Linked DNA regions of Lepisosteus oculatus. The protein of the gene in region 4 interacts with the protein of the main gene of each other region in a pairwise test. Links are inferred from orthologs where the notes say so. Each region holds a gene or a part of one and is shown on either strand. Other genes may lie near its edges. The genes, in order: kinesin-1 heavy chain, kif9, zbtb48 and zbtb8a.

The links.
Region 1: the proteins of zbtb8a (region 4) and kinesin-1 heavy chain interact in binary tests that used the Homo sapiens proteins (3 or more experiments, as listed by UniProt). The two-hybrid records come from large-scale screens. The link is inferred for Lepisosteus oculatus from reciprocal best matches to the Homo sapiens genes ZBTB8A and KIF5B.
Region 2: the proteins of zbtb8a (region 4) and kif9 interact in binary tests that used the Homo sapiens proteins (3 or more experiments, as listed by UniProt). The two-hybrid records come from large-scale screens. The link is inferred for Lepisosteus oculatus from reciprocal best matches to the Homo sapiens genes ZBTB8A and KIF9.
Region 3: the proteins of zbtb8a (region 4) and zbtb48 interact in binary tests that used the Homo sapiens proteins (3 or more experiments, as listed by UniProt). The two-hybrid records come from large-scale screens. The link is inferred for Lepisosteus oculatus from reciprocal best matches to the Homo sapiens genes ZBTB8A and ZBTB48.

What each region holds. Positions count from the first base shown.
Region 1 is NC_090701.1:39,349,646-39,357,587, reverse strand, and holds the start of kinesin-1 heavy chain, read right to left. Parts: upstream 3,003-7,942; 5' UTR 2,764-3,002; coding exon 2,638-2,763; intron 1-2,637. UniProt on the Homo sapiens protein: Microtubule-dependent motor required for normal distribution of mitochondria and lysosomes. Can induce formation of neurite-like membrane protrusions in non-neuronal cells in a ZFYVE27-dependent manner.
Region 2 is NC_090701.1:26,375,293-26,382,150, reverse strand, and holds the start of kif9 (kinesin-like protein KIF9), read right to left. Parts: upstream 3,010-6,858; 5' UTR 2,902-3,009; intron 2,461-2,901; 5' UTR 2,392-2,460; intron 2,088-2,391; 5' UTR 2,082-2,087; coding exon 1,986-2,081; intron 1,301-1,985; coding exon 1,135-1,300; intron 473-1,134; coding exon 366-472; intron 1-365. Other genes in the region: klhl18 (kelch-like protein 18), read left to right, coding at 4,084-4,218. UniProt on the Homo sapiens protein: Essential for normal male fertility and for progressive motility of spermatozoa.
Region 3 is NC_090720.1:9,105,392-9,112,703, forward strand, and holds the start of zbtb48 (telomere zinc finger-associated protein), read left to right. Parts: upstream 1-4,293; 5' UTR 4,294-4,441; intron 4,442-5,346; 5' UTR 5,347-5,361; coding exon 5,362-6,108; intron 6,109-7,052; coding exon 7,053-7,312. UniProt on the Homo sapiens protein: Plays a critical role in transcriptional regulation and chromatin remodeling. Acts as a regulator of telomere length. Directly binds the telomeric double-stranded 5'-TTAGGG-3' repeat.
Region 4 is NC_090706.1:2,398,154-2,405,648, forward strand, and holds the start of zbtb8a (zinc finger and BTB domain-containing protein 8A), read right to left. Parts: upstream 3,006-7,495; 5' UTR 2,633-3,005; coding exon 2,568-2,632; intron 741-2,567; coding exon 1-740. Other genes in the region: zbtb8b (zinc finger and BTB domain-containing protein 8B), read right to left, coding at 5,731-6,081, 6,337-6,515, 7,165-7,495. UniProt on the Homo sapiens protein: May be involved in transcriptional regulation.

The DNA.
Region 1 (7,942 bases), on a different chromosome or scaffold from region 4:
CTGCATCTTAAGTAAAACACTTAACATTTATAACTTTGTTGATACAGAATATTGGACTATAGTCCAAACAGTGTTATATGCTAAAACGTTACAATGGTTAGAGTGCAACAGTTCATACATTCCTTTAGTTTAGACAACGGTATTGACTGTGCTGTTTGTGAAGGGCCTTGATCTTTGTATGTGCTTCCCTAAGCTTCTCAACAACTTGACATTCGAACCACAGACTGGACGATGAAGGCGTACCCCATAAGCAAAAATGTTGATTATACATATAATGTAGCCATAGAAACCTGGAATACTGTATACGAGGCAGCATTGCTAACCAAAATACCACCATGCACTCCACTGCTTAAGCAAGTATACTTCAAGCAGATGCACAATTTTGGGATCAGCTACTACTACTAAGTGAATGACAGGCCCAGTGGACTTTCCTTCCTGTTTTATATGACCCTTCTAACATTCTTAATCCCCCCATACAGTAAAACGGATAGCTTTAAAAGCTGAAGTGTATTTTCTTCCACAATAATCAACCTTGTTATAGAACAGAATTTTAGCCTGGAGAAGGGAAAACGTTCTTGCTCTTTTCAACCCAAATTCCAAATTTTTCAGAGAAATAAGATGCATATCCAGTAGCCAGCAAATAATACACAGACCATATTATGAGCATGTATGCATTCTCAATTAACAAGATCCTTCGGGGTAGCAAGCTGGCTGCTTTTCTACAAAGGTCAGGATGGTTCCCCTGACTTAAAACGACTGTCTAGCTCTATACTGTATGTGCCTACTTGTAGTTCTTCATAAGCTTTATTTTCTTCCAAACAAATATTGACTCTTTGAGCAAGAGCCTCTTTACAAAAGGTCACAAGACAGATCAAATACATTTCCTAGTGCATATTCATGATACTGAGTTACACGTCCTGACAAAAGACTCATTAGGCAGTGTGTACTACAGAAACCACAATTCTATCCCTGTGAAGTCCCACAGAGTGATAAAGCTAAATCAGAGAGGACAATGAGGAATGTGGAAAGAGCTCTATTGTATTTTACAAATGGATATTATGAATAACTTCAGCAGTTACATTTGACCAATCTGTACTGCCCATGTCCTATGTGTGCCTTTGCAGAATGTTTTTCAAAAAGACAAATTGCAAGCAGGCACGAATATCACTCCGTGACATCTGAGGAACTGGTATTTTGATGAATGTTGCCTCAAAAGGCTGGACTTGTTATCAGTGATCGTCAGCACCATGTAATTGGGAAGACAAAAAAATCACCCCATGTGAATTCCGCTGATGCCGGGATACTGAAAAATCTTTGAGCAGGGCAGCTATTTCAGGACACGCTTCGCAGGGGCCAAGTTTTTCTGCACACAAAGCAGCAAAAAAAAAAAACTTTCGATTTCAAGATCGGCGCCTGCACTTCAAGAATGACTGTGCTTCAAATCTGTAGCGGTCGTTGGCGAATTCGTGCTCTCAGCTGCGGTAGCTCAGTGGGGCGCCATTGTCTTTCACGGGCCCCCTCACCCACCGCACAACAAACAGGAGCCCCTCGGCCGGCGCACGCCAGCCTGACACCTGTCAAGTGACAGCGCGACCGCACTCTCTCCAGTCTTACGGGTTCAAAGACTCCCTCCCCAGTACTTTTTCCGAGTTCACTTGGGAGATGTGGTGCGATGAGTGCAAAGGGCAACGTGGAATTTAGGCGTTAGCCAAGCAGCAGCTGATGCGTTCACTGGTGACTTCATTCATTCGTGCATCCACGGAGACGAACAGTCTGGAAAACATTTTCTAACCCCCCCGAGCACTGTATTATTTGGCTGTGGGGGAGAATTTTATGCCCTAATAAAAGGGCCCCCCGACCGAATTGGCCTAATCCATCGGGCACACCTATTGTGTCCAAGACCCAGACGTAGGATATCCACGCAGGCAATAACAACTGAGCGCCGCTTGTCAAATCCCTGCTCTCGCTCCCCCAAAAGATACCGCTTTGTTTTGAGACGCCAGAGAGGGGCCGACGCGAGTGAAGGCCTCCGGGTCCAGCAGCTTCAACCAACTGAAACCCCCGCATTGCCGAAACAGAACACTTTGACGCCGAATACACCAATAGAGACGATGCAAAAGCAGTTCACGCTTTTAGGTTTGGGAAATGCCTAGTGCCGGCCACGTAGTTACAGCTGTGGACAACACTTCTGGCTTTGTTGTGTGCGCCGTGGAAAAGGGCACGATTAGGCCAGTCTTATTGTCTGACCCAGCCCTTCCAGCGATCTGCCACCGGCCTCAAAACACAACGAAGCACGATTCCCTTTAGGAGATCGGGCCGCTACATCGTTTATTTTCAAATAACTGGCGTCTAGCGCACTTCAACAGTGGCCAAGGAAAAAAAATATCAGAATTCAAAAGACGATTAAACGAAGCGTTAAGGGTCTCCGTGCATAAAACAATTCAAAAGTAAGTATGCATTTTAATGAAGCCGCAGTTATTAGCTAAAGTTTCAGTCGGCTGCTGCTCATGTGTCAATCTGTGGGTGGACAGCACAGACACTGCCCTTGGCTTTTAACCCTCATTGTATTAAAACATCAGCCTCTTCCGATGCCACCCTGATCGCAGAAAAGAAAATTCTTTTCTGCTCCCAACTTACCCCAATAACAACGTTGTCCTCCCCTTGAAATTTGGGGATGTATTTGTCCCCTCTCATCACTTCGGAATTGTTCAGCGGCCTGAATCGGCACATCACTTTTATGGTGCACTCCGCCGGGTCCGCCATCTTCCAATCTTTCTGGGATGAAACTGACAATAATAACAATCAGATCCTGCTGCCGGGACGGCCCAAGGGTAGAAAACCGGAGGCCGCACCCCTAAACCCTTCACCGAGTGCCGAAGAAACGATGCCCCCAGTCGGTTTCTCGGTAATAAATGCCCCCTTTTCTTAGGCGGATAGGAATCACTTCCTCTCCAATATGGCAGCCATGACACCGGCAGATCTCTCTCTCTCTCCTTCTGTCTGCTGCTCTCGGGCGGCTGGTGACGTCACCTCTGCAGATAACTCCGATATTATCAACACCCTCCCCAACCGGAGACGGATAGACCGGCCCAGCCCAGGGCTTACAGCTAGATTGGCGGTTACGGATTTGAGGGCAGCGCCGCCAAGTCATACCTGTGTTGCCAGAGAACCGAATTTTCCTACCGGACGTACATAAGCAAATGAAACGCAAACATATTGATTTCTTCTTTTGCATTATAAATATTTTTTTTCAACTCGCGCATTTATCGTGTATACATATTGACAGGGGGTATTCTTTTTTTGCATACTTCAGACAGCTTCATAAAAAGTGCAAGAATGATGCAGGTGCTTTTTTTTGCACCACAAGTACGAGATGCCCCACCTACGTCCGACTTCGTGTGTCCCCATTCGCAGCCTACGGGTTCACAGAGGGAGGTTCCGGGGTTGAACAGCTGGTCAGACAGAAGCAGAGACAATGATGTCACTTGAGCATATGGTTAGGATAATTGAACCGCAGCCGTTGATTCCTAAAATGTAAAACCAAGGACAGTGATGGCACGTGCTTTTTTAAGCGCCAGTCCCCCGCCCTCTCCTTTTCTGTCTTGGCACCAATTTTTAATCCCAGTGCCTGTGCGCTCAACACCAACAGGCGAGTTCCTGCTTCAAGTTGTTGCCGCAACTCACGCACATGTAGTGCGTCTGGCTGCTTACTGAAGGCAATTCATTAAGCGCTCGGTGTCGTTAATTTACTATTGTGCATCGTTGTCACTGGAATCCGCTATGATACAACCGCTATTCGTCTAAATTCCTAGCAAGAGACTGCTACAATCAGTAAACTTGTGAGTTTTGCAAACCTCACAAAGCTCAATGGAGACACAACAGTAGTTCCGTAAGGCAAAAGAAATACAAGACGATTTAGATGCTTTTCAGGTTGGCACAAATACCCCCAAAATGCAACAGATTAAGTATAATATTCAGGAAAGTACAGTATGTTTCAAATACCTTTTGTTGGTACTGAACTGGAACTAGCAATCTGTGAGAAATATCTTTGAGTTTGGTTTATCTCTTCTCTTTCTTAGGTAGTGTGATGGAAGAAAATAGGTTTACAAAGGGTATGTGGTTAAAATGTAGAGTTTTACAATTATAAAGTGCATTACCTGATAATTTGCTAGAAAGTACCCCTAACACTCTTCTGTTGGCAGCATATCATTCTCTACAGTTGCCTATACAATTACATATTCAATATAAGAGCTTGTTACTGACTTTAAAGGTTTAAATAATCTGGCTTCTTCATACATTTCTCAGCTCCTCCATGTTTACACTCCCTCTCGTAGGCTCTATTCAGTTGAGGCTGGTCTTTTGCTCACTATACCCAGCACTGAATTTCTTAGTTTCTTCGGTGGCTGCTTCAGTGTTATTGAAGTTCTTCAAATCCAAACCTAAAACTCAAGTGTTTACTAGGGCCTATGTCCAATTGACCTATCTGTATGATCTTGTATGTTATTGTTTGTTTTTATTTCTTTCTTTTATTTTTTATTGGGATTATGGGATTCTTGCGCACATAAAACTAGGATAACTAAACATTGTTGGACCACATGTCCATTTGTAATATTTTTAATGTCCTTCTGCTCTTAACTGGCATTGAAGGTTTTCTGATGATAATCTTTGCTTGTGTTTCTCTAGTTGGACCTCTAGAAACCAAAAGGCACATACAGTAGCACGAAGTGTGCTAGGTGTTCTAAGAAAATAAGATGTTAGCTGCTGAAACATCTGAAATGTTTTTGAATAAGCATAAGTTAAAAATACGTAATGTGTCTGAAAGACGTAAAATGAAATAAAACAAGTGCTTCACATGATAAGATAAATAGTTCTTTTAACAGATTGAATCATCAGTAAATATATCCTAAATGTAAGTATGACACACCAATGAAAAAGAAATAGATTATATGGAAATATGAAAATGAAATTGACCAAGATTTGGATTTGATTTATAAGAGATCTCCTGTTTGAATTCATTCATATTTACAACATTAAAGCTCAGATGTCATCACTCAATATGATCCTCATGTTATATAAATATAATTATTTTTACTAAACATTTAGTTCCTTGTGATTCTTTAATAAGTGTCAAAAAATATTCCGGAGAGGGAAAGATCCTGTTTCCAATTGTTAAAAATACCTCTTGTCCTATGTATGTACTCCTAAAGTTGGGTTCTCTTGTGAGTAGTTGTATATCAATGACAATAAAGTTAAATAGGAGCAGATGACTGAATTATAAATTAAAGGCTTTAGAATATTTTGAAATGAAGCACATAGTGAACTTCTTGGATTTTTTCCCCATTAAAATATGTTTAGCAGTTCTCTCTTCGAGACAGTATATGGCCAGTTGGTGCAGAGAAGCATCTTCACTGGACTGCATAAAAATATCCCAGCCATGTGCTCACAGAACAGATGCCAAGATGCAGGAATGCTAATGCAAATCACAAGAGTTGGTATTCAGGATTCAAATCCCTGTCCCCAGGGAAACAACGATCTATTATCTCTGCCAAAGATGAAGTTTGAGCAGTTTCAGCTCACTACACCTTTTACTGTACGCACAGAAATACACAACGCATGACTGAGCCTCCACACTGCTGCTGGCCTTTTTCAGCAAGAAGCTACCATCCAACAAAAGATAACATCCAACATTAGATAACAACAAATAGTTTATATTGTAACGCATACGGCCTCCATTGCTTGTGAGAGCCGGCTTACCAGCGCAGTGACGTCACCACCCTTCCCTGTGTATAGCAGGGACTGCAGCCGCTGGGCTGAAGGGAGATCTCCCTTTGGCTCAAGAGGCTGGGTCCCTGTTGAGTGACACTGGAGGCTTGGGTTCAAGTCCCTGATGGTGGGGGGCTGACCTGATGTGGCAGCAGTGAGGGCGCCCATGTGAACCCCGAAGTGTTACAATACTCAAAGCTTTATCAGCTACGTGACATTAATTACACTTCAGATTGTCACATTTGATTTTTTAAGATTAAGGTATGTAGAAGGATGTGGATATAGAGAAGAATGAAAATATTAGATCATTTAAAATGGCAAAATGCAAAATCCAGCAGGCCCATCTCTTTCAAGGTTTTTAATGGGATACAAAGGATTTTGTTACAGAGGATTACATACTACTGTATTTTAATGTAATGAGCAAAAAAAAATTGAATATAAAGCATTTCTATACAATTTAGAAATTATATCACTTCATACATGTTATAACAGGTAAAGATCGTTCCTCAGTGATTTATGTAGTTGGAAAGATATAAACAACCTCACAAGATTCTGTCCAGTCCAGCACAATGTACACGCTGTCCAGTCCAGCACAGAGCACGAATGGTCCAGTCCAGCACACCGCACTCACACTGTCCAGTCCAACACGGAGCACACACACAGTCCAGTCCAGCACAGCACACATACACAGTTCTGTGCAACACAGGGCACACACACAGTCCAGTCCAGCACAGCACACATACACAGTTCTGTGCAACACAGGGGACACACACAGTCCAATCCAGCACAAGGCACACACACAGTCCAGTCCAGCACAGCACACACACACAGTCCAGTCCAGCAAAGGGCACACACACTGTCCAGTCCAACACAGAGCACACACACAGTCCAGTCCAGCACAGGGCACACACACTGTCCAGTCCAACACAGGGCACACACACAGTCCAGTCCAGCACAGGACTGAAATCACTGCTATATGAATGTATGGGAGTTGCACAAAAAAGGAGTTTCATACTTTTTTCATACTGATGGCATTCAGATGTAATCTCAGTGTCAGTCAGTGTCATAGCCAGCTATCTCAGTGTTTGCTTATTTTTAGAGCAGTGATTTTGCTGTGATGTTTTCAGAAGATGGGTAGGACGGGCAGGGTATCCCTCCAGCGATGTTTTCATTCACACTATTTGAACAGGAGGATGACAGAGGACAGAGGACAGAGGACAGCCCTACATGGACCGAGGATGGTTCAAACAAAAACGAAATAATGATATGGTGAAATAAAACAGGTTTCATGTGTACGCTGAACTTCTTCTGTCTTGTAACGGATATCAACAGTAAACATGAGCCAGGGAAACTAAAGTGCATTTAAAATGAGAATTCAGAGTTGCAGGGATCCAGAGCTTATTTCGACAGGTAATAGGCGCAAGGCACACACATTTATTTGCAAACTCATCTAAGGCCAATTTTTCCTGAAGCCAATTAATCTACATGTTTGTCCTTGGACTGTGGAAACTGGAGCACCCAGAGGAAACCCACATGAACATGGGAAAAAACACTTAGCTCTTAGCTACTGTTCATAGAATATAAAGTGATTATGGAAAATGAGACAGCCTTTCACTCTGAACGTTGCTATTGCCTGAAAATCATGGCATGACAGCATGACATGATTTAAAAAATGGTTCTTCGATTTAAGAGACAACTTAGCAACAGTTTAATGTTTTTATTTCCTTAAAAATAGTAGTAGACGGTGATGTTTTCTAGAGTGAAGTGCATTTAAATTGAGAAAGGGAGTCACTTCTTTATGTAGAGGGTTGTGGGGCTCAGCCAAGTAGCTGGAGGTGATGCCATGATTTCTTTTAAGGAACGGATGGATGAGGTCTTAGGACCAATCAGCTGCTGTCTACAAAACAAGGTCCTTGGGCTGATTGGCCTCCTGTCATTTGCAAATGTAATGAAAAATTAAATACTATATGTTCTCATGAGAGGCTGGTCACCCTGGACAAGACATTCCTTTGGATTATTTGAAAATAGTAATAATTAATAAGAAGAATAATTGCTTACACTTATATAGCACTTTTCTAGACAATCCTCTCAAAGTGCTTTACAGGTAATGGGGATTGCCCTCCACTACCACGTGTATGATGTGACAGCAGCCATACTGCACCAGTACGCTCACCACAGA
Region 2 (6,858 bases), on a different chromosome or scaffold from region 4:
CAGACAGGAGGGCCTGAGCGTGGAGGGGGAGTTGTTGCGTTTCTTTTCTCCATTAGTATATTTACAAATATTCAACAAGATAATGTGGTGTACTGTACAAATTGACTTTATAATGGTAGATGATAAATTATTCCAATTTGTTGTTTGAAATCTTCAGAATTCGGAGTTTACTACCATAAAAAACTAATTTCAACCTCTTGGGCCATTAAATAGAATAGATGATGGTGCATGCTGCAAGTCCTGAAAACAATCCTGACCTCACACATGTGTAGTTTAATAATAACTTTTTGATTTCATATTGCGCCTTTCATCTCAAAGAATTCCAGCGTCTCATCCACTGCTGTAATCACCACAGTATTTTGTACCTCCTGCAGAGCTCTGGGAATGATTCCTCTCTGTTTGTAGCTCTCTGTGGCTCCAGTCATAGTGTGTGTCTTTCCAGCACCTGTCTGTCCAAAACACATCACTGTACCTGTTAAATAAGAAGAAATAGAAGAAGCATAAAAACCACACCCAATAAATGACAAGGAATGAAAGTCTCTGAAGAAGAATATTAACTAAATAAAGTATTGTGATGAACCAGGGGAAAACATACCTCAGACAAATTATTAGAAATTTTGTTTTAAATGTATAATTTTAAATAAACTGCAGTTATACTTTTGGGTAATGCTTAACTTGGTTAAATTATTTAAAACAAGTATTTAACAATTAGCAATTAAGCAATTAACACAAAGAAGACAACAACTAACATACAAAAAGTAAATAAAAGTTCATAGAGTTTATACATTCTTAAATAAGCATAAAGAAGAGGTAATATTCACTGATTCACAGCCAAAAGAAGAACATTAAGTTATGAGCTGATGAAAAACAACCAGAAGAACAGTTTTTAAATTGCCTGATGCTCTAGGTAATTAAAGAAGAAAATCTCACAGGTATTATGAACTCCTTATTAAAGTCCATTACAGTAAACTCTAGTAAAAGCATGTACAGTATTAGTGTATTAACGTACAGTGACATCATAATAAAAGCATAGAGATGCATGCTAAATACACAATGCAAGTCATAGAAAACAATAGCAAATCAAATACCAGTAATATCAAGACTTCCAAGACTAATGTTGAAAATTCAATTTACCATTGTAACCGTCCAGTGCTCCCAACACCACTCTTTTGGCTACAATGTCATACACATTCTCTTGGGACACGTCATGGAGGACACCATCAAGACGGAATGACCAGTCAGACAGCTGGTTATTCACCAGCCCTTTCTGGCCTGTCTTTCTCATGTGAATGTTAATAGTCTGAAATAAGGATGGGGGGGGGAGATGACAGGTGTAGAAAGGATGTTAAGAGGTAAATAACCAGAAAGGAACAAAGGACAAATCGATACATAGGCGCTATATTGTTTCTCTATATTGTATATTGACTGCTCCAGAGAGTCCTTCTGTAACGTTTAATCTAAAGTAACAAAACCACATGCTGTCAGCTAACCTAAAAGGAGGATGGTGTCAAGCCATGCTTACTGTGACTTGACATGGCTTGATCATCCTCTAGCGCACATATAGCAGTGGTCACCCATGAAGCCAATACGTCGTTGTAAGTGCTGCTGGTCTCTGGGTATCGCATATAATTCCCTTCCATCTTTGCTTGTCAGTAGCCGCTACTTTAGCATCGGTGAGACTGAGTCAGCAATTTTTGAGATCACCTTTGACTTGTTTCACCCAGATTTTTTTAGGGGCTGCACGTATTAAAAAATATGCTTACTGTATTTCTAATATGTAGTACCCAATACATTGGTATTGTACAAAAGTGTGACTTTAACAATCATTCTCAGTTAGAAACAGAAATGCAATCTCTCAATAGCTCTAAAGGAAAAATAACTTTTTTATTGAAAAAGTTATTGTTCTGTTGCTGCTAATGGTGTCAAGTAAATGATGTTGATTGTGAATGTGATGAGTCTTGAAATGATGTATCACAGCAGAATACCTTGCCATCTGGTAAATACTGGATGAGGTCCTGGGCAAAGTTGGCAGTCGGCCTGGTGCGGACAAATACCGTCACCCCACTGCCCCTGGAGCTCATGTCCAGCTGGGAGATCAGGGGAAGAACATTGTTAAAAACAGAGTTCAATCCAGTATATTAGCATCACAGTCCATGCTTCGAATTTGGTCATTGGAGGTTGCCATAGTGATGTATGATGTAGTGATGTGTATCTGCAAAAGGTGTGTGCAACAATTTTTTATTGCTGTTCTTCATCATTTAATTTCTATTTTTGAAAGAGTTACAAGAGCTTCCGAGTTTCACTGTGTCAGATGCTTTTTCTTTTACATCACAGCTCAGTTCATAAAACACTGCGCTAACACAGAAATGCCAAGCTCAGTTTACCACTCACCCCAAATTAACTAGCCAACGTGGTGAGTCAGGACACCTTCAATGTTTCTAATACAAGGACTGAGTAATCCTGAAATTACAAATGTTTTGCTTTTTATTGATTCATTATAGCTGATACAGTATATAGCTAATGCTGCTAATGTTCCAATCGATATTGAAGTTGCATTCATCTGTCATTGTTTGAGCACAACAATGATGTTTTTGCTATTTTACTTGATTAGGCTGTTCTTTGTGATTATAAATAATCCACTTCATAGCAGTCGTAGTGTAATAAATTACACTGTAGTACAGTACGTGCAGATTGTGTCTGTTGTCAGACGATAAAATGTAATAGCATTATAGGAAGAAGTACAGGATCATTTCAGGCTGAAAATATTTATGCGTTGTGGAAACAGAAACTATTTTATTTTCAGTTCAGGATTGTTAAAATGATAAATAACATTTATAATTTATTAGAAGCCATTTCGTCTTATAAAAAAAAAAACGATTTGATTACTAGCATCCCACATACCTGTGTTATTAATCAGCTAATTCGGAAATAGTCTCGTGTCTAAACGCCCCAGATCCTCCAGTCTCATTCACCAAGACATAATGTTTACATCATCACCATGGAAACCGTGCCCGGATGCGTGCGGAAGACCTAATTTCCGTACGGAAAATCATTGACATGTCCTTTTACGGCAAGTAATGTATACAATAATTGTATCATATATCAGAGAATTATATAAAAATAAATATATATTATACAATTTCACATTATATTTGTAATGTGTGTGTCTACAAGGTTCCACAAGGATCAGTCTTTTAAACTGACCAGCGACGCCTTTAGTATGGTCTATTCATATTTTAACATTTATATTCGGCTATTTCATATTCCATATTTGTGTATTAGGTGCTGCATGTATACAGAAGTTATATATTCTTTATATACAGAATTATATACAGAATTATCAAAAGGACTGTAAATTTTAACACTTGCCTGATTTCTGTACCCCTCATTGTAAGAACACTTGTGTATTCTATTTTGTAGGTTTATTGTAGTTTGTGATAGGATGCTAATAAACCATTCCACCAAAAACAGAGGATTATGAATACTATTATTTTTTACTGGATATTGCCTTGATTTGTCCAAATCAACATTTTATTATAAATGAAATAATAACTATAAACAATATAGTATTGTAATCACATAAAAATGAAATACATAAATTATGTAGATAAATTGTTAGTAGAGTTATCTATCAAAGTGTAAAAATTAGTACAAGCCCACCACATACTCTTTCAAGCAATGAAAAAGACAAAGTACAGAAGTGCGACGAACAGAAAAAGGTAACTTTTTAAATTTTTGATTACAATTTGACAACTCGAATGGTAAGCGTTAATAACAAAACCAATTGAATGATTTCATATAAACATTCTAAATGTATTTTAAATTGGTGTGGAAACTCGATTTTTATATACTATGTTTTATTGCCCATCTAGGTTCCTGGTGTTCAATGTAATCCCTAAAATTAATCCCAATTTTAAGATTATTCTCTCCAGGACAAATCAAACCACCATTTAATCCGTCTCAACTCTACTGCCCAATGATATCGCAACCCCTGACGCGCAACAGCAGTAATATTAAACCCTACGGCAGCTACTCAGGCTCAATCCGCGTTTCCGATTTTTTTCTGTCGTTTTTATTTTCTCAATGAAGATGGAAGATCTAATATTCGAGGAACTAGATGATTTGATGCATTTCTCTGTTAGCGACCTTCCGAATCGGGGCTACGCGGTGATGGAAGAGATCCGGAGGCAGGGGAAACTGTGCGACGTCACCCTCAAGGTACAAATCAACCCGACGCGTGTTGTTCAGCAGGTTCACCGAGAGGCACCGTGCCTTTCGCTGCCACTGCCTTTAAAGAGGGAGTATTGTCTTGGTTGAGGTGCTGGGGTGGATGAGGGTTTCTATCCTATATTCTTCGATTTAAAAGGGCCTCCGATGCTCTTCGTCCTTGTTCCAAACTAAGATGCCCTTTTCCAGGTTGGACACAGGCTAAATTAATTGGTTGTCATTGTAGACGAAAGCCCGGAAGAGATCCCCAAAATGTAAATATAACCGGGGTGGTTAAAGCCAACCGGGAAACAGCTGTTACAGCGGAAAATATGTCCTGCATTGTTACTGTTTTCCTGTCTGATTGATTTGTTTCTTTGTGAACACAAATAGAGAAATTAAATACATTACGAATATCTCTGAAACGAAAAGCGCTGGTATCTAACAGCCCTAAACATTCATTGACCTGAGGTTTTGCTACGCTACTAGGGTTGGGACTGTAATAAAAAAGTAAATTTAGAATATTTCACCATTTCCATTAATATTATTTCATTCTAAACATAATTTTCATAATTATGGAAAATTACTATTTAAATCGTATTAAACTCCAAAAATGGCCATTGTGCGCCAGATGGTAGCTAACTGTAAGAAAGGTAAAGGCAAATGTTGCACATTGATAAGAGATACGAAGGAAATACTGTTCAGATGCAACTGTTATGTTATTTTATTTTATTAAAAGCGTATCTAAGACATTTACTCATTAGATTAATGATAGCCCAAAAATCAGCCGATCTTAAAAAGCAGAACCTGCATTCTGTTAAATCCCCATAGGTCTAAAAATATCCTACTGTAGTTGTACAAGTAGCTCCTGTTATAACTCCTATTATCTAAATATATATTAAGTAAAATAAAATCCAGTAAACATGTGATAGGAAATAAAAACCATTAAGGAACTCTTAAGGTTTATCCATCAATTTTATAAATATTTTTGTTGTGGGATTGAAATACACTGAAGGCAGCAATTTAAAATAATGTATTAGTAGGACTTAAACATCTCCCCAGATTTTGATATAGCTGTGTCTTTGTCAGTGGAAATATTTTATTTCTGTCATTAAATTCTGCACCATATTTTTAGTTCATCATTGTTAAAAGACGTGAAGCACCTTTAGTGGGCTTGAACAACAGGTCAGTGACTGGTGGTGAAGAGGGGATCATACCCTACACCTGGCAGCACAAGGCCCTGTGTGTTCCCTCCCCGCAAGTCTTGTGCAGCTGAGCACTGTAGAGACACAGTAAACTACAGTATGGTGTGAAGTGTTGTGGGGGGGGTGGGTAATACTTGACAATTCTTTCTTGCACTAGTTAGCAGGCCTGCAGGACCGAGCCTAGCCTCCGCCATGACAGTTGTTAGAGGTGTACTGTGATCCACCCTCTGTAAAGAGCACTGAAGCTGCACGGGCGATAGCCTTGCAGGGGCCTTGCAGTGAGTGAAAGTGTTTTGTAATGTCATGTTTACCTCTTAGGGTGCTTCACAGGTTACCAGGCGTCCAGATAGAAGCGACTTGCGTCGCCTGACGTCTGTGTTAGCATTCTCTGTTTATCCCGATTACTACAGCAAGAGCAGCGATGTGCTGAAACCGCAGTGCTCCAATTAACCTGAGCTCTTTAAGTTGGAGAGAGCCTTTGCTATCTTATCCAAGCTAAATGCACTTTTGTGTTATTATGTTTGTAAATGGACACTGGATATGTCAGTGGCCTTGGCTCCTGCTTCTTAAAGACCAGGCAGAAGCAATCCTCTTTCTCACAAAGTTTGGTCTACATTCACAACTAACTACTGACCATCAGGCTGCTGCACTTAAGCCTTTTCTAATACTACTCAGCAACCTAATGTCCCTTCTCCTAGAATCTCTGCAGCCAGTGATACAGTAACAATCATGAGAGGGATTTCTATTTCACAAGTTCCTTCTATCCATGCTTTGTGTGTTAATTTTAAATTATCATTTAAGTATGTTTATTGGAATATATGGTAAAAAAAACAACAAAAACTATTTGCTTGCAGGGCCTACCTTCCATTGCGGAGCTGCGGCAGGTCCATTCTCTTCAAGTCTTTTACTCCAGCACAGCCTATGTTAACTATATGGACTTATATCAGTTCCAGTCAATCAGATAAGAACCCTGGTATGTGATATGGCAGATGAGAAAATACGGTACCTAAATTACGCCTGTTGAACTTAACGGACCTCAACCTAATATCTGAAATCACTGATACCTTTCTCACTTAAAAAAAAACAAAGGCATTTTCTGGCTGTGGGAATATGCAAAAAGAAAACAGACCCCGAGATTCAAGTCATCTACGCCCATGCTGAGCCCTCTAATAAAAGGAATTACAATACAAGAATGTTTCGTTTATACCATTTATTTTTGGTTTAAATTTTTCTGGATTAAACAAGGTTGAAATGCCTTCTGGAATCACAGTTCATACAGTGTATACAGGTGGCTGACACTGTTGAGAGAGATATGGCATCCTCTGTAAAGCCAGCTCACCGATGAATAAAAAAAGTACAAGTTTCAGTGTCCTTGGAGGGTACTGTATCTAGGATCTTTATAAAGTCCTTGGCTGCAGTTTGAAATACAAGATTCACATAAGCGGTC
Region 3 (7,312 bases), on a different chromosome or scaffold from region 4:
GCTTCAAAACACAGTGATTCAACCGCTAAATGAAAGAAACCCTCGCGATTCGCGGTTTTGAGGCTCTGCGGTGCACCAACCCCCACCTCTCTTCCCGCACAGCATGCTGGCTCTTTGCTACTGCACGCTCGAGAAACCTTCACGTTCAGAATCGGGCAGCATTTCAGCGATACTCCAGGGCCTCAATCAGGGCACCTGAACGAGAAGTAAATAATAGTGCCACACATGCGAGAGAGGCAGGAGAGGAGAGGGAATGAAAACCCGTGACTTTAAGCAAGAAAGCCGCATTATCGGATAAGCCTGCAGAGGACAGATCCGGTACCTGCAATGTGCAGCAATAACTCTACTGCATCCACCGTGTGACATGAAGAGAAAAAAGAGAAGACATAGGGGATAGAACATAAACTGTAAGGCCTGTGAAAGGCATTTTGTTTATTTTACATACTACGTGTTAACAGCATTATTACGCTGCTAGTTTTAATGCGTCTCATTTGCTGCCGCTGGCAAATCGGTGTTTATTGGTAAAGTAGAATATTGGCCTGAACCTCTAGAATCTCCAGTATCCCTCAGTTATGATGGGGGGGGGTCTCCCCACAACACAGACTGTAGACACAGGGTAAAAGAGGGTGAGGCAGTGGACCTGGGATTCCTGAATTTTACAGGCCAGATCCCCGCTGCTTGTAAAATCACACAGAGAAGTGCCAACTCCCAGGAACGTGAAAAGCACGTCTGCGTGGGATGGGCCCGTGCTGCTGGAGCTGACCTGCACGGCAATGCGAGAGATGGGAGCTCCTACAGTCCGTTCTTCACTGCCCCCCCACCCGGAAACGCACAGCTGCAGGGCGGCACGGCGACTGGCACGTCATCCGAAACAGCTGTACCGAACATGTTGTACCGGGAAGGCAGAAGTGTTGTTCCCCTCACCGAAGTGTCCGTCCATCCGTTCTCTAACCTCTCTATCCAATACAGGATCACTGGGGGAGCTGGAGCCTACCCCAGCAAGCAAAGGGGTGCAAGTCTATGAATGAATCTATGAATTGGCTTCATCACTCTGCTCTCCTCCCCACTGAGAGCTGGTATGTGGGGAGCGTTCTGGCGCACTATGGCTGCCGTCGCATCATCCAGGTAGATGCTGCACACTGGTGGTGGTGGAGGGGATCCCCATTACCTGTAAAGCGCTTTGAGTGTCCAGAAAAGCGCTATATAAGTGTAAGTGTAAGTAAGTAAGTCGGGGTACATCCTGGAGGGGGTGCCAATCTATCACAGGGCACACCCAGCCATGCTCATGCTCACACCAGGGCCAGCTTTCCCTGAAGCCAATAAACCTGCCTAGCGTGTCTGTGGACTGTGGGAGGACACCGGAGCACCTGGAGGAAACCCACTCAAACACGGGGAGAACATACAAACTCCACGCAGACAGCACCCCGGGGACTGAACCCAGGGCGCACACAAACACACACACCTTTTGCGTGTGCAATTTTCCCAGAAGTCAGTTAACCCGCCTGGACAGTTCAAGGGTTCCTGTTTGATTCCAGCTCCTGTCCCTGTTTGTGTGGTGTCTGCATGTTGTCCCAGGCTGTGGCTGGGGAACTGGAGAGGACGTTTTAATTGCTTACTCTAATTACGGGGTTGTACAGAACCAAAATTAAGACTGTATAGAAACAAAATCAATGGTCCAAATGCTTCCTTTCATTTGTCTCCTAATCTGAAGTCAATGAAATCTGGTCTTTTTTGTTTTTAAAGATTGTATGCCCCAAGGAATGTGATAGCTAACTGTTAAATACGTGTTTAAATGCTACGGTCTGACTGTCACTAATACTTCAAACGTCTTTTGTTTTTGCAAGAAGCTAAAAAAAAACAATAATTATCAAAAACAAACTAAAAAAGCTGCATAATTCGTTGAGGTTAATATAAAGGTCCTTGCGCATGTTATGCATTTGGATTTAATTTCTGGATTCTTGATGCCACTGAAGACCACTGGAGCAGATAAATTCCCTTGAAGGAAAATAAACTGGAAGAACGTGATAACTGTATGATCGATTTCAAAATCTCGCATTATTCATGCAGAGGCTATGGTAAGTCTTTTGTCGGAAAGGCTCAGAGGATTTAGACGAGGAATAAACAGGACGCTACCGAACCTGTGTCTACACTTAAACACTGCTGTTTGTAAAAGCCGCTGTACAACATGTGATTCAATATGTACGCGTTGGCTCACCTATGCTTATGCCCACCACGACTACATAGCGATTTCTAAATAGAACCATTCACACTGCACAGAATATCACAAATAATCTCGCTTAAATAATCGCTGGTAACATAATATTGTTATATGTCTGATTTTGTCTTTATTTCCAGCGACGTTCATCAGCATACAAAACCCCTCTGGAATATGAATTACCGTTCACTCCCATCTGTATTGCCTCTTAGCCCATCTCCACCCACACAAATAATACGTATGGTAAAACGTACCTGTGTAAACCCCACAAAAAGAGTTATTCGCGCTTATCCACCGCTTAACAGCTTTTAGTCGTCGTATTTTTGTAGCCTACAGCCGCAAAATAAAAGCCGCACGTCTCCATGTGTAACAACAGCCGCCACAGCAACAAGCTTCCTTGGCCAACCAAGTCATTCCAGGAGTTACACTTTCACAATTCATTGCATCGGGAATAGGCATATTTGAGACTTCAATCGTCTAAGAACAGTTTTCATATTCACATACATGAAAATTAAAATAGTCCTGGAAAATAAATTTAATTTAATTTAAATGGACAGCGAAATTGTTGTATTAAGCATATAAATACATTTTCCTCCTTGAGAAAACATAAGCTATAAAATGATGGACAGCTACAAACCTTCCCGAAGTTTTTCCGGCCTTCGTTTCTGCGTTGGTGCCCTCTGTTGGTTAGGATATAGTACAGCGCTTCCGTTTTCGCAATATGTAAACGACAGTGTTGAGAGAACACAGTACTTTATTGATCTGATCATTTGAATTAATGAGATAATTTTAAAATTGTGGCTTTCTTATTCGCGCACAGGACAACCTGTGTCAATCAATTGCCAGTGTAACACGTGGGTAAGATAAAATAAACTCCTTCAGTCCTAATAGTTTTTCGCCCCGTTGGAAAATTACACTAAAGTATAGTGAACTCCAAATACATACACACCATTGTTTGAACTATTACAGAAATATATTGCGGTTTGTTGGGTGAAGCCTGCTCCTGTTTTTCATACAGCTCATATTTACCACACTGTAGCTTAATGTGGAGGTCCTCAGACCTACTGTTGGACCAGTAGGTGGCGCCCTTCCTTCTGGAGCATAACATCCCATTCGGTCATTCTATGGTGTGAACCCCCATCTCCCTGGCTGAATTACACTGTGGGGTGGCACAATACAGCCTTCCCACAGCTCCCCCTTAGTTCTAGTGAGGAAGCGGCTCCTCACTTTTCCACCTGAGTCACTGCTGCACTTCCTCACACCAGACTGCTTTCATTAAACCAGTTTGCAAACTACAAGCCGAGGTCACGCCCAGAGGAGCAAAGCACACCGTTTCCCTTCTGGTCCAGTGGCCATCTGACGATTTTTACACACCACTAAAGTTGAAGTAATGACACGTTTTTCTTAAAGTTGAGGGAAAGCTAGTGTGTTAGTGGGGCCAGCAGGGGGCGCTGCCCCTGCGGTCTATGTGGGTCCTAATGCCCCAGTATAGTGACGGGGACACTACGCTGTAAAAAGACGCCGTCCTTCAGATGGGGTGTAAAACTGAGGTCCTGACTCTCTAAAAATCCCAGGGCGTTTCTTGAAAAGATTAGGGGTGTAACCCCGACATCCTGTCCAAATTTCCCCCTGGCCTCTACCAATCATGGCCTCCTAATAATCCCCATCTCTGAACTGGCTTCATCACTCTGTTCTCCTCCCCAATGTTAGCAGGTGTGTGGGGAGCGCACTTGTGCACTATGGCTGCCATCGCATCATCCAGCTGGGGCTACACACTGGTGGTGGTGGAGGGGATCCCCATTACCTGTTAAGCACTTTGAGTGTCCAGAAAAGCGCTATATAAGTGTAAGCAATTATTATTATGTCTGTGCTCCCTCTAGATAGTCTCTGAGAATTCCCAAGGCTGGCCAGTTAAAAAAAAACAACCCTTACCCATATAAACCTTCACATATATATCAGATTCCGTTTTGAAAACTGGTTTTCTGTATAAAATAGACATGAAGAGAAACTGCGCCCCACACTGCAATTGACAATCTTCCTGGTGAAGTTTTAGCCACGCTAGTACGTCATATCCGGTCTCTTCTCCAACATGGCCTCCTGTAAGGTAGAAAAAAAGTATTTCGAGCCCATTTGTTTTTTCCCCTAAAAGTACCATTCGAAATAGCATGAGCCTGATCCCATTCTCTCAGCCTGAAACAAAGTACTTCCCCTCCATCCTCAAATAAGGTAAGAAGCACTTTCGTCGGCGGTTTCTGTCGTACCAATGGCACGTTAGGGACCGTCTTTAAAAACATGCCTTCCGTCGTAAACGTTGAGCTAAGGGTGAGTTGGTACTCATTCTGCTAAGAAGGAAACCGAAAAAGTGAGTCATGCTGTCATGGTTTTGCGTATTACAGCATTGGGACTTTCAGAGGAGATAAATCACCAACGTCTTGCTCCGCTCGTCAGAAATATTAAAATGCTGCTGACGCCTACCCCGGTGCAGTAGGGGTACAATGTGTTACTTTAATGTACTTTGTCTAACGTTTTGGAGAACAGTACTTTGATCCGCCCTGTCCCTTACTTGTCAAATGCAGTACCCCCTGTAGCTGTACAGTAAAAAGAAACGCAAACTTTCCCAGCCCCATGCGTCTCATAATGGACAGGGGCGTTTCGATGTTTTTAAACAAATCGAATTAAACTAATTAAAAGGGTTTGTTGACGATGTTGAAATCTCTTCACCACAGGTTCATGAACGGTATACAGTGATTCAAAAAGACCTAGAACACGTACTGGGTCAGAAACCCAGGCACCAGAGGTGACCTAAGCGAGTGCGTTTTACAGTTTTTATTGTCACACAATATTTCCCCCTCGAAAACCTGTTCCAGTACTGCGACCTTAACATGGCCTAACGATAACAAATTCCTATCGTGTTTCTGGAGCCTTAGACACGAGAGAAGTCTCCTCATCCATGCCCAGCTGAATACATTTAACAAGAAGGCGTTGTTCATGCACCCATGTGTAAGGCTAGGCTGTCATTCCATCATTTACGCCAATCACATGTATACCGTTAGTTACGCAGGTAAGATTAGGCAATTCCACGGGCTTTGAAGCTGTTGACAGGCCGTCCGTGTCTGCTCTGTGCTTAAAAGGCTCTGCGGCGGAAGATGGCAGCGCTGGAACACAGACATGCCCAGCTGGTGTTGTCCTCCCTGAACCAGCAGAGGGCGCTGGGTAGCTTCTGCGACGCCACGCTGAGCGCGGTGGATGGAGAGGTGTTCCGGGCCCACCGCAGCGTGCTGGCCTGCTTCAGCCAGCTCTTCCGTGACTCCTACTCTGCCACCCCCTTGGTGGAGGTCTCCCTGCCAGAGGAGTGCCCCTCCGAGGGCCTGGGGCTGCTCCTGGACTTCATCTACACCGGGGAGATGAAGCTCAACGCTGGCACCTTGGACAAAGTGCGGCAAGCTGCTCTCAGCCTGTCAGTGCCCCACGCCCTAGACCTTTGCCAGGAGTTCAGCCAGGGTGACCAGCGCCCGGCCAGCCCGCTAGAGAAGTCGCTGGCCAGGGACGGCGACAGCCAGGAGTCTCCCAGGGGGGACCCCGAGGCACAAGGGGGCCCGGGCCAGGCCGAGACGCGGGGGATGCAGCCCAGGCCCCGGCCGGCGCCCAGACCCAAATGCAAGGCCGCCAACAGCGCCCCGCGGCCGCCGGCCCCCGCAACCACCACGACCCGCTCGGGCCGCAGGGTCAAGGGCCCCAGCCGCCTGCTGAGGGACAGCCCCCCCCCTCCTCCTGCCCCTCCCCTCCCCCCGCCGGCCCCCCGCCGAGCGGAGCCGCTGGCGGCGCAGGGAGAGGGGCGGCGCGGGCCGGACACAGGCGAGCGGAGCAGCAGCCCCTCCGCGAAGGGCACAGAGGTACCAGGGTCGAAACCAGGGGGGTTTGCCGCGTAGCCACCAGGGGGTGTACAGGAGGGGGGCATCAGGCCTGGGTGGTGTGCTCGCTCTGTGGCTGGAAGGTTGCCGGTTCGTATCAGAGGAATCCTACTCCGTTGGGCCCCTGAGCGAGGCCCTCAACCCCAGCTGCTCCAGGGGCGCCGTATAAATGGCCGACCCTGCGCTCTGACCCCCAGCTTCTCTCCCTGTCTGTGTGTCTCAGGGAGAGCAAGCTGGGGTCTGCGAAAAGACACATTCCTAATGCAATAAAGTGTATAGGGCCAATAAAGTGATCTCTAATCAGGCCGGGCCCGAGCCCAGGGGCAGGGAGTGCTTGAATTGAAAAGGGTGGGGTGTTGAAGTTCGATATTGTCTGTAAAAAAATTAAGTCCTACAACTGAAGTATGTTTTTGTTCTGTTAATCCAAGAGGTTCCGTGCTGAAAAGAAAGGAGACGCGACGTTTCTGAATTAGGCTCCACAGCCGAAAAGTTGTGTCTCCTTTCTGCTCTTTCCGGCGTGGAATGAACCGGACGCAGCTCCCTGCCGGAAGTCCAATAATTCCCGCGCTCGCTCGAACACGAACCTGAGCTTTTAGTTAATAATAATTAATAATAATTGCTTACACTTCTATAGCTCTTTTCTGGACACTCCACTCAAAGCGCTTTAGAGGTAATGGGGATCCCCTCCACCACCACCAGTGTGCAGCCCCACCTGGATGATGCGACGGCAGCCATAGTGCACCAGAACGCTCCCCACACACCAGCTCTCAGTGGGGAGGAGAGCAGAGTAATGTAGCCAATTCATAGATTGTGGCTACGTTGTCTTTTCTTCCCCCGGTTCATGCAGATGAACAGCCGAGAAGCGGCTCTTTCCCCAGCCGGTCTCGTGGCGGGGTGCTTGACCGAGTTTCCTCTCGCGGCTGCAGGAGGGGAAGCCGCCGGAGCCCGCCCGCGAGGAAGACGAGGAAGAGGAGGAGGAGGAGGAGGGCGAGGGCGGGGGCCAGGAGGACACCGACGAAGACTACCTCCCTACCACCGCCACCCCCACTGCCGGCGCAGCGGGGCCCCGGGCCAAGCGCAGGGGCCGCGGGCGAGGGGGGGCGGTCAACAAGGAGAACGGCGAGGGGGCGGGGGCCGACGCCAAGAGGGGCTCCGTCCAGTGCCCCACCTGCCACAAGACCTTTCT
Region 4 (7,495 bases):
CAGCGCCCCCCTCTGGCCCCAAACTGAACTGGTACCCTCCAGGTGAGGCGTGTAGCTCGGGGTCAGCGATCTGAAGGGCTCGGCGGCCCATTCGCCGAGAAGGCTGCTCTGACGGGGATGAGCCGCGCTTGGCGGGCTCTGGCTCAGACTTGGTCTCCTTGTGGTAGTCCACTTCGGGGCTGTTGTAAATGTGCCAGGAGGCAGGCTGAGAGCTGCTGGGGCTTTTCAGCATTGCCCCCGCATTGCTGGAGGAGTAATCTTGCGGCTCTCTGACACCCCCAGACCTTGAAGCGTTCTCAGACAGGCTCAGGTAGTGGTCATCCTCCTCCTTGGCGCTGATGTCCAGGGAGGACTTGATGAAGCTCTTGCAGTAGCCGATGACGTCGGTCATCTGCAGGTAGCTGGCTGCTGACATGACCTCGATGACGTTGGTGCTAGTGAGGTCAAGCTTCCCCGAGTACATGAAGTCGAGGATGACGGTGAAAGTGTCCTGGCTGAAGACTTCGAAGGAGGCGCTGACAGGCTGCCCGCAGTCCTGGGCGCCCTGGGACAACAGCATGCGGAAGTAGCCACTGCTGGCGAAGAGCACATTGCGGTGCGCCTTGAAAACCCGCCCCTCCACCAGCACGCTGCAGTCACAGAAGAGTTCCTGCCTGCGCTGCTCATCCAGCTGCTGCAGCAGACGGCTCTGATGACTGGAGGAAATGTCAGCGCTGAGCGCCGAGACGCGGGAGGGGTGCCTAGAGAAGAGAGAGAGCATCCCAGGGTGAGGAGACATCGACAAGAGTGCGGAACAGGAGAGTGAATTAGGTAGGAGAGACAGAGCTGGGGACAGGTCAAGTGGGTTGGAGAATAAGACAGGATAAATTCATGTGTATCTCTGACATCAGCATGCGCCTGCCTCAAAAGTTAACATGGTAACAACATGTCTTGTTATGAGGCATGCAAGAACCCTTGGCACCCCATTTAAAAGCACATTCCTGGGTTTTCTGTCTTTTTTTGTCCATCCTTGGCCCTTGATGGGTATCAAAGACTAGAAAAAGAAAGAATTCAAGACACATGTCTGACAAATATCCGATTTACTACTACTGTTTTTCCTGGGGGTGCACAGGGTCTCTCACCAACGAGGCTGGATGAAGGAAAGCCATCCTTAGAATTGTGAGGGCCCTGTCGCCCCTTGAAGTTTTTGGCCAAGATCACAGTAAAATACTCTCAATGACGTCGTGATGCTGCTGATAGACGAAAAACCCACATTTACCGTCCGCAACACCACGTTACAGTGAGTGGATTCTTTTTTCCAGCTGGTTTAACCAGCAGGAAACCTTTCCATTACAGACATTTCTACATCGCCCACGTACTGCATGGAAGGACGTCGAATGGATAAAATGCCTGTAGATTAAAGGACGGTGAGATACAGTCTCCGGGTGCCCTGAACAGCTCGGTCGTTTTTTTTTTTTTAATTTGAAAATGTTCAATAAGGAAGAAAGAGGGGCGGGGGGTCTCGCCGCACGGTTAATCGCGTCCTCCCAGTCTCCTGTCCGCACGCCGATTGGCCGGGCTGCCCGCCGCTCACAGGCGAGCTCTCTCGAAGTGGATTGAAAAGCTACACCCGGTTGACGGCGTCGGGCGCCGGGGGAGACCGACAGAGGCACTGCGCTGCGGACACAGCCCTGCCGTACAGCGCACGGAGCGACACGAAAGCCTGCTCTCATTATCGCGCCATAGCTGAAAAAAGGCATCTGCAGGATTTTAGTTTTTTTTTTTAAATAAAAAGCGCATAAAATACCCTTTATTTCCCAGGTGCCCTTTTCTTAAGAACACAGCCTACAGCTATAAACCCGGTCCCCCCCCTTTCCTATTTTAAGTTCTTTAAAACAACAAAAAACGCATTTGATATATTTGGGTTCTGATTTCAGAACGTGAGGGGCACGTTTGTTTTGTTTAAAGAAAACTAAACGGCACAGCAGTAGCACCCTGTGGCTTGGCAGAGGCGCCCGAAGGCTCCTGCCAGACCGAAACACTGAACACGAAGGGAAGCGATAACTATTGATCGTGAAGTGCGTTCAGCCTCCACTCTGCATATACCTCAGTGTGTCGTGAAACTGTGTTAAAATCACATTTTATCCGCCAGATATTTTGCCTCGCACGCAGAGCTCGCTGTTACCACTGCGAGATCTCCGCTCTCAGCCCTTGGGGTTTACAGAAAGGACGCCCACCGAAGAACTAACAATGAAATAACCAAGACCGGGGATTTCGCGAAAAGAACGCGAAAAAATACGTATATATATATATGTTGGCTGAAATGGCGAGGAGGATACACGTCCGTGGACGCTGCTCTCCCGAGTCCTCCGTCTCGACACCCGTTTCACCCAGCCAGCCGAAGACCCAGCGCAGCTGCAGCCCAGCACCATGGTCAGCGGAGACGCGAGCTGGTTCTCTGCGGTGCGAGGCGCTGCCTTCACGGGCTGCAATTATCCGCAGGACCCGCTGACGCCCTACGGTCCCTGCGCCCTGCCTCCCACGCTCCTCACTTCCCGATACCCGCTGCTTTCTCCGGCGATACTCACGGTTGCCCCGGCTCGCCGGGTGTCTGTGAAGATCCTTTCGTCCGCATTTCGGAAAGAATGTCCATTTGTGTGTGTGTGTGTTTGTTGCAGGAGAAAATAAAAGAATGGAAAAAAAGTGAGTCTCTCCTCTTCGTCTCCGGCGCAGGGCGATACGGTCGCTGCTCAGCCCTAAAGACGAAAACCCGGTTGCCGGACAAAAGGGAGGCCGTGCTGACGTGGGTGTGGAAGCGCAGCGCCCGAGGGCCGGAGAGCAGCTTAAAGCCCCAGCGCGCACGTTAACCCCTCAGTCCTCCCTGCACCGGCAGGAAGCCCTCACCCCCCCAGGCTCATTGTTATCTAACCCGCACACCTCGAGTAAGAGATGTAGGTGAAGAAACGCTGAAGTTGTGCGTTTGGTCTATGGTAGCAGCCCCAAAGCTAAGGCTTTCACACTGCGTTTAGACGCTGTTCAGGGTTTCTCTCTTTTCTGGATTTTTGTGTGCTTAATAAATACATATAATGATCTTAAAGGGAGAGTATGAGTGAACGACGCCACATAACGTGTCGTTGCAGGCTATCCAACACCTGTAGTTACAAAACCAACCAATGGTCATTTTTCTAAAAAATATGACAAGATGAATCGCTCTTCGAAACAAAACTTCAGCACGGGGGCAGGGGTTTTAAAAGTCGCCCGCCACGTGACACATTTTTTTTTTAAAGTCACTTATCGCATAGTCCCGCGTTTTAAAGAAATAACCTTTGCTATATTGTTAAAATGTCAAATCGCATTCCCCGGTAAATGTAAGCACACCAATGCGGCACTCCGAGAAGCTGTTCACGTTTAAAATTGTCTTCTGAGCAGTTAAGAGTGGTAGTTTGATTTGATCTCTCATACAATTTAATTTATGCTAGTGTAAAATCGTCTAATACTGTAGATATGAAATACTTCCACTTTACCAAGAAGGGTGCAATGACTTAGGTACGCTGTACGTGTAACCCCTAAATCACAGAAGCGGCGTACTGTGTGGCTATAGGGTGTCCACTTCAGTGGTGTTAAAAAAAGTGATTTCGAGTTCAAAAAACCGACATGACTGATTTGCCTGCGATTGTAGCCTAGCTTTTAGTCCAATTTACAGAGGCGGGGCTGCGAGACGTTGGGCAGAAGTTGGACAAAACGCTGAGAACACACTTTCGAAGCGTTTTTGAAGCCTTTGTCCAAAAATGCAGAGTGATGCGCCACGGGGGGTGCGAAGTTCGAGGTAATTATTATCTGACGCCCTTATCCAAAGCGATGTACTCACACAGTACACCCGGTAACACAAAACACAAGCGGGCGTTCTCCCGGGACACTCTGAGGAAGAAGCACGGGTGTCTAAACGCCTGATGCTGCGGTCAGGAGTCCTCGGTTCCGATGTAAATCCGTCTCCAATGTTCAGTCTTGACTGCCAGTAGTTTAATCTTAATAACAGTTCAAAAAAGAGCGTCCAACACCATAAGCGCTGATTTTAATATGGAAAAGCAAATTAGTCTCACAGCCTCGGTAACACTTTTAAACGTGAATGCAAGGTTAACCCTTACAGTTCAGCATATTCTATCCAGTTGGGGCAGAAGTGTGGCGTTAATCATTACACTAAGCATTGTGAACATAAGAATAACTCACAGCTCACTGGAATAGATTTTATTTCACAAACACAGCACTGAACCTCACTTCCAACGCCGCTGGAAGTATTTACAAAGAACGGTAATACAAAATATATAGCTTGCAAAACGAGACAATATAAATAAGTACCATACAAAATATTTGTTGTTTACTTAAGGTTAATGTAACACCTTCAATAATGTAAATGTTTTACATTGTATAGACTAAAGGCAAGCATTCTCCACAGTTAAGGCTACAATCTTATTGTAACTATATTTCGACTATCACTTTTACTCTGTCTTGACAATGTTCATAAGTAAACCAACACAAAAGATAGCTTTGGCATTTGTCCACTGTAATTTTAATATTTCACAAAACACGTTTTTGTTTCCACTTTATTTTTCTCTACCGGTGCAGACGCTTTCGCGACGTCATCGCGTGGTTACACAAGTTAACTTCGGCACACAGAATCCCACAAAATCCTCTGAGCAGGTTAAGAGAAAGTTCAGTACCCACTGCACACCCGCAGCGTACAGTAAGGGCATGGTCCACAAGTCGGCCCTACCCAGCACACGGCAGCAGGAAGGGCCGGGCTTCACAGAGAGTTAAAGGGGACAGAACTCGCCGAGCTGCTTGAAGTTGCAGAGGAGCGACGGAAACAGAGCTGGACAGGACCTGCCCGCCTTCTCCCAAACACAGCAGAGCCATCCCCGCCCTGCATTATTTCACCGTTAATCAGCAGTAGAACAGTAATGCTGGCTGTATTAAAGCTCTGCAGCGGAGCGGACAGGACGGGACCTCACCTTAGACCACCCTGCTGTCCACTTTCACTCAACACCCAAACAGGTCATTCATGGAAGCTGTCTTGTGATGTGGGGCAACACGGCGGCCCAGTGGTCCTGGGTTCAATACTGGACCAGGGATGCTGTGGAGTGGATGGGGTTTGTATGGTCTCCCAATGTCTGTGTGGGTTCCCTCCCACAGTAGGGAAGTTCACTGGCATCTGAGAAAATTGGCCCTGGTGTGTGTGTGTGTGTGTGTGTCAGTGTGCCCTTCGATGGGCTGGCATCCCGCCCAGGGTGTGTCCTTGCGCCCTCTGCGTGCTGGAACAGGCTCCAGCTCCCTCTCCTGGGTGGACGTTTCGTGATGTTGGAGGAGCAAAACCTCTGCTGGAGCGCAGATTCCAGTCAGAGGCACGAGGCCTCGACTGCAACCCTGAAGTTATCATCTTCTCCAAGCTCATCCTAGCAGCTACAAGAAACGGGAGTGAGAGAGGGAAGCTCAGGCCTTTGTTTCACACAGCTGCTCTCGTTCTGGGGGCCAAGAGCGCCACTTCAGTGCCCAGTCACCCCCGCGCGCTAGCAGCCCTGATTCCTCACCAAGGCGTGTGGAGCCGTGGATCCAATCCTTACAGCGGGAGCAATCTGGGATCGCAACGCGCTGCCGCACGAGCACCCCGACCTTCTCTCTGTCTCGCCACAGCCCACTCCCCACGGGGACAGGCCCGCAGCGAGAGCGAGGCGGAGGGAGCCGGTCCTCCCCTCGCTACATCAGCCCCTCGCTCTCCGACAGCTGCCTGTGGAGCTCGTGCTTGTCGTCCAGGTCCTCCCCGCCCCCGGGCTCCCCCTCCTCGGCCTCCTCCATGTAGATGGGCCAGTCGCCGTCGCCGTCGCTGCGCTCGGGGCCCTCCGATTGGCTGCTGAGGTTGATGGGGGCGGCGTCCTCGTGGGTGGTGGTGACGCAGGTGCAGCCGTCGCAGAGCCCGAAGCGCTTCAGGCCGTGGGAGATCACGCCCGTGAAAGTGCGCCGGCAGCCCTTGCACACGATGGGCCAGTTTGAGCGGTGCACCTGCAGACAGGTAAACCAATCACATCCTACCCTGTCGCGTAGCGCCACCTAGTAGTAAAGAAACATCAACTGCAACCTTCTGAAAGCAAACCTTGTTTCAGTTTTCTACAATATCAAACTGAGCTTCCACATTATTTATTTTAACCATGATGATGAGAATATCACCTTTGACATAACAAACAGGTAAAATTAAATATTTTCTCATTCACAAGTGTTGATCCCCAATCACTTGCCCTCCGACAGACACACTAGCGGCGCCAGGAGCTCGGGCTCCGGACCTGGGGGAGAGGTGTGAGGACTCACACTGAGCGCGTGGCTGCGCAGGTGCTCCTGGCGTGTGAAGCGCTTGCCGCAGGTCTCGCAGGGGTACGGCCTCTCTCCCGTGTGGCAGCGGATGTGCCTCTTCAGGATACCCTTCTGCTTGGCGGTGTAGGGGCAGAACGGGCACTTGTGCAGCTTCACAGGAACCACGAGGCCGTATCCTGCAAAACCCACAGGAGCCCGGCCCACTTCAACAACATGACCCCAGTCCTTGAAGAGGTGGCCTGCCAAACGAGAGTGCTTCCGATTCCCAGATTGCACACGCAGCCCCAAGCTAGGTTCTAAAGATAACCCCCATCCCGTCTCTGAAACCAGACAGAACTAGACAACGAGATGGCATGCTCTCCCCCGCTGCAGCACAGTGGAGTAAGGTAGGGTTACTGCGGCAGCCGGCCACGCCTCTACTTACCTGTCAGTCAGTTCCGGTTGCTGTGGTTACACAATCAGACAGGAAGCCTGTTTCACCTGTGGGCAGTTACAACCACCCCCGTCTCAGGTGGAGCATGCTACCTGATTGTGTAAACACAGCAACCAGTACCGACCGACAGGTGAGTAGAGGTGTGGCTGGTGGCCACAGTAACGTTAGCTTACTCCACAGTGCTCCAGTGGGGGACAGCCTGACACCCGAGTCCCGAGCTTGCAATTTCAGAATTTAGCAGAACTTTGAACTTCCTAGCAGCACAACATGTCTGGCAGTAATAAGAGACGGTTGCGTGTCATGCTAGACAGAGTTGATAGAAACGGTCCAGTTAGATCAAATCTTGGGACCAAAATCCCTGTCGCTTCATCCTAACAGCAGGGGGCTCTTACCTGTGTCGTCTCCGTACCAGTCACTGTGGATCTCCATGATGGAAGGCGTGCCCAGGCCCAGGCTTTCCTCTGGGGCCCCTCGGCCAACACCCACACCCCCTCCCAGGCTCTGGGCAAAGTGCTGCACCAGCTCCTCCCGCCTGGGGTTGGACCCCCCTCTCAGCAGCACCTCCAGAAACTGCTTCATGTGGTAGTTGTCGTAGGGCAGAGGGGAGGACTCGCTGCCGGCTGGCTGAGAGGAGGGGTGGGGCCGGTCATCATCGGTGGGAGGGGCGTGGAACAAAGGCGTGTACTTCCCTCCCGTCGGGCCCTCTCCTTCCTCGTCGGGGTC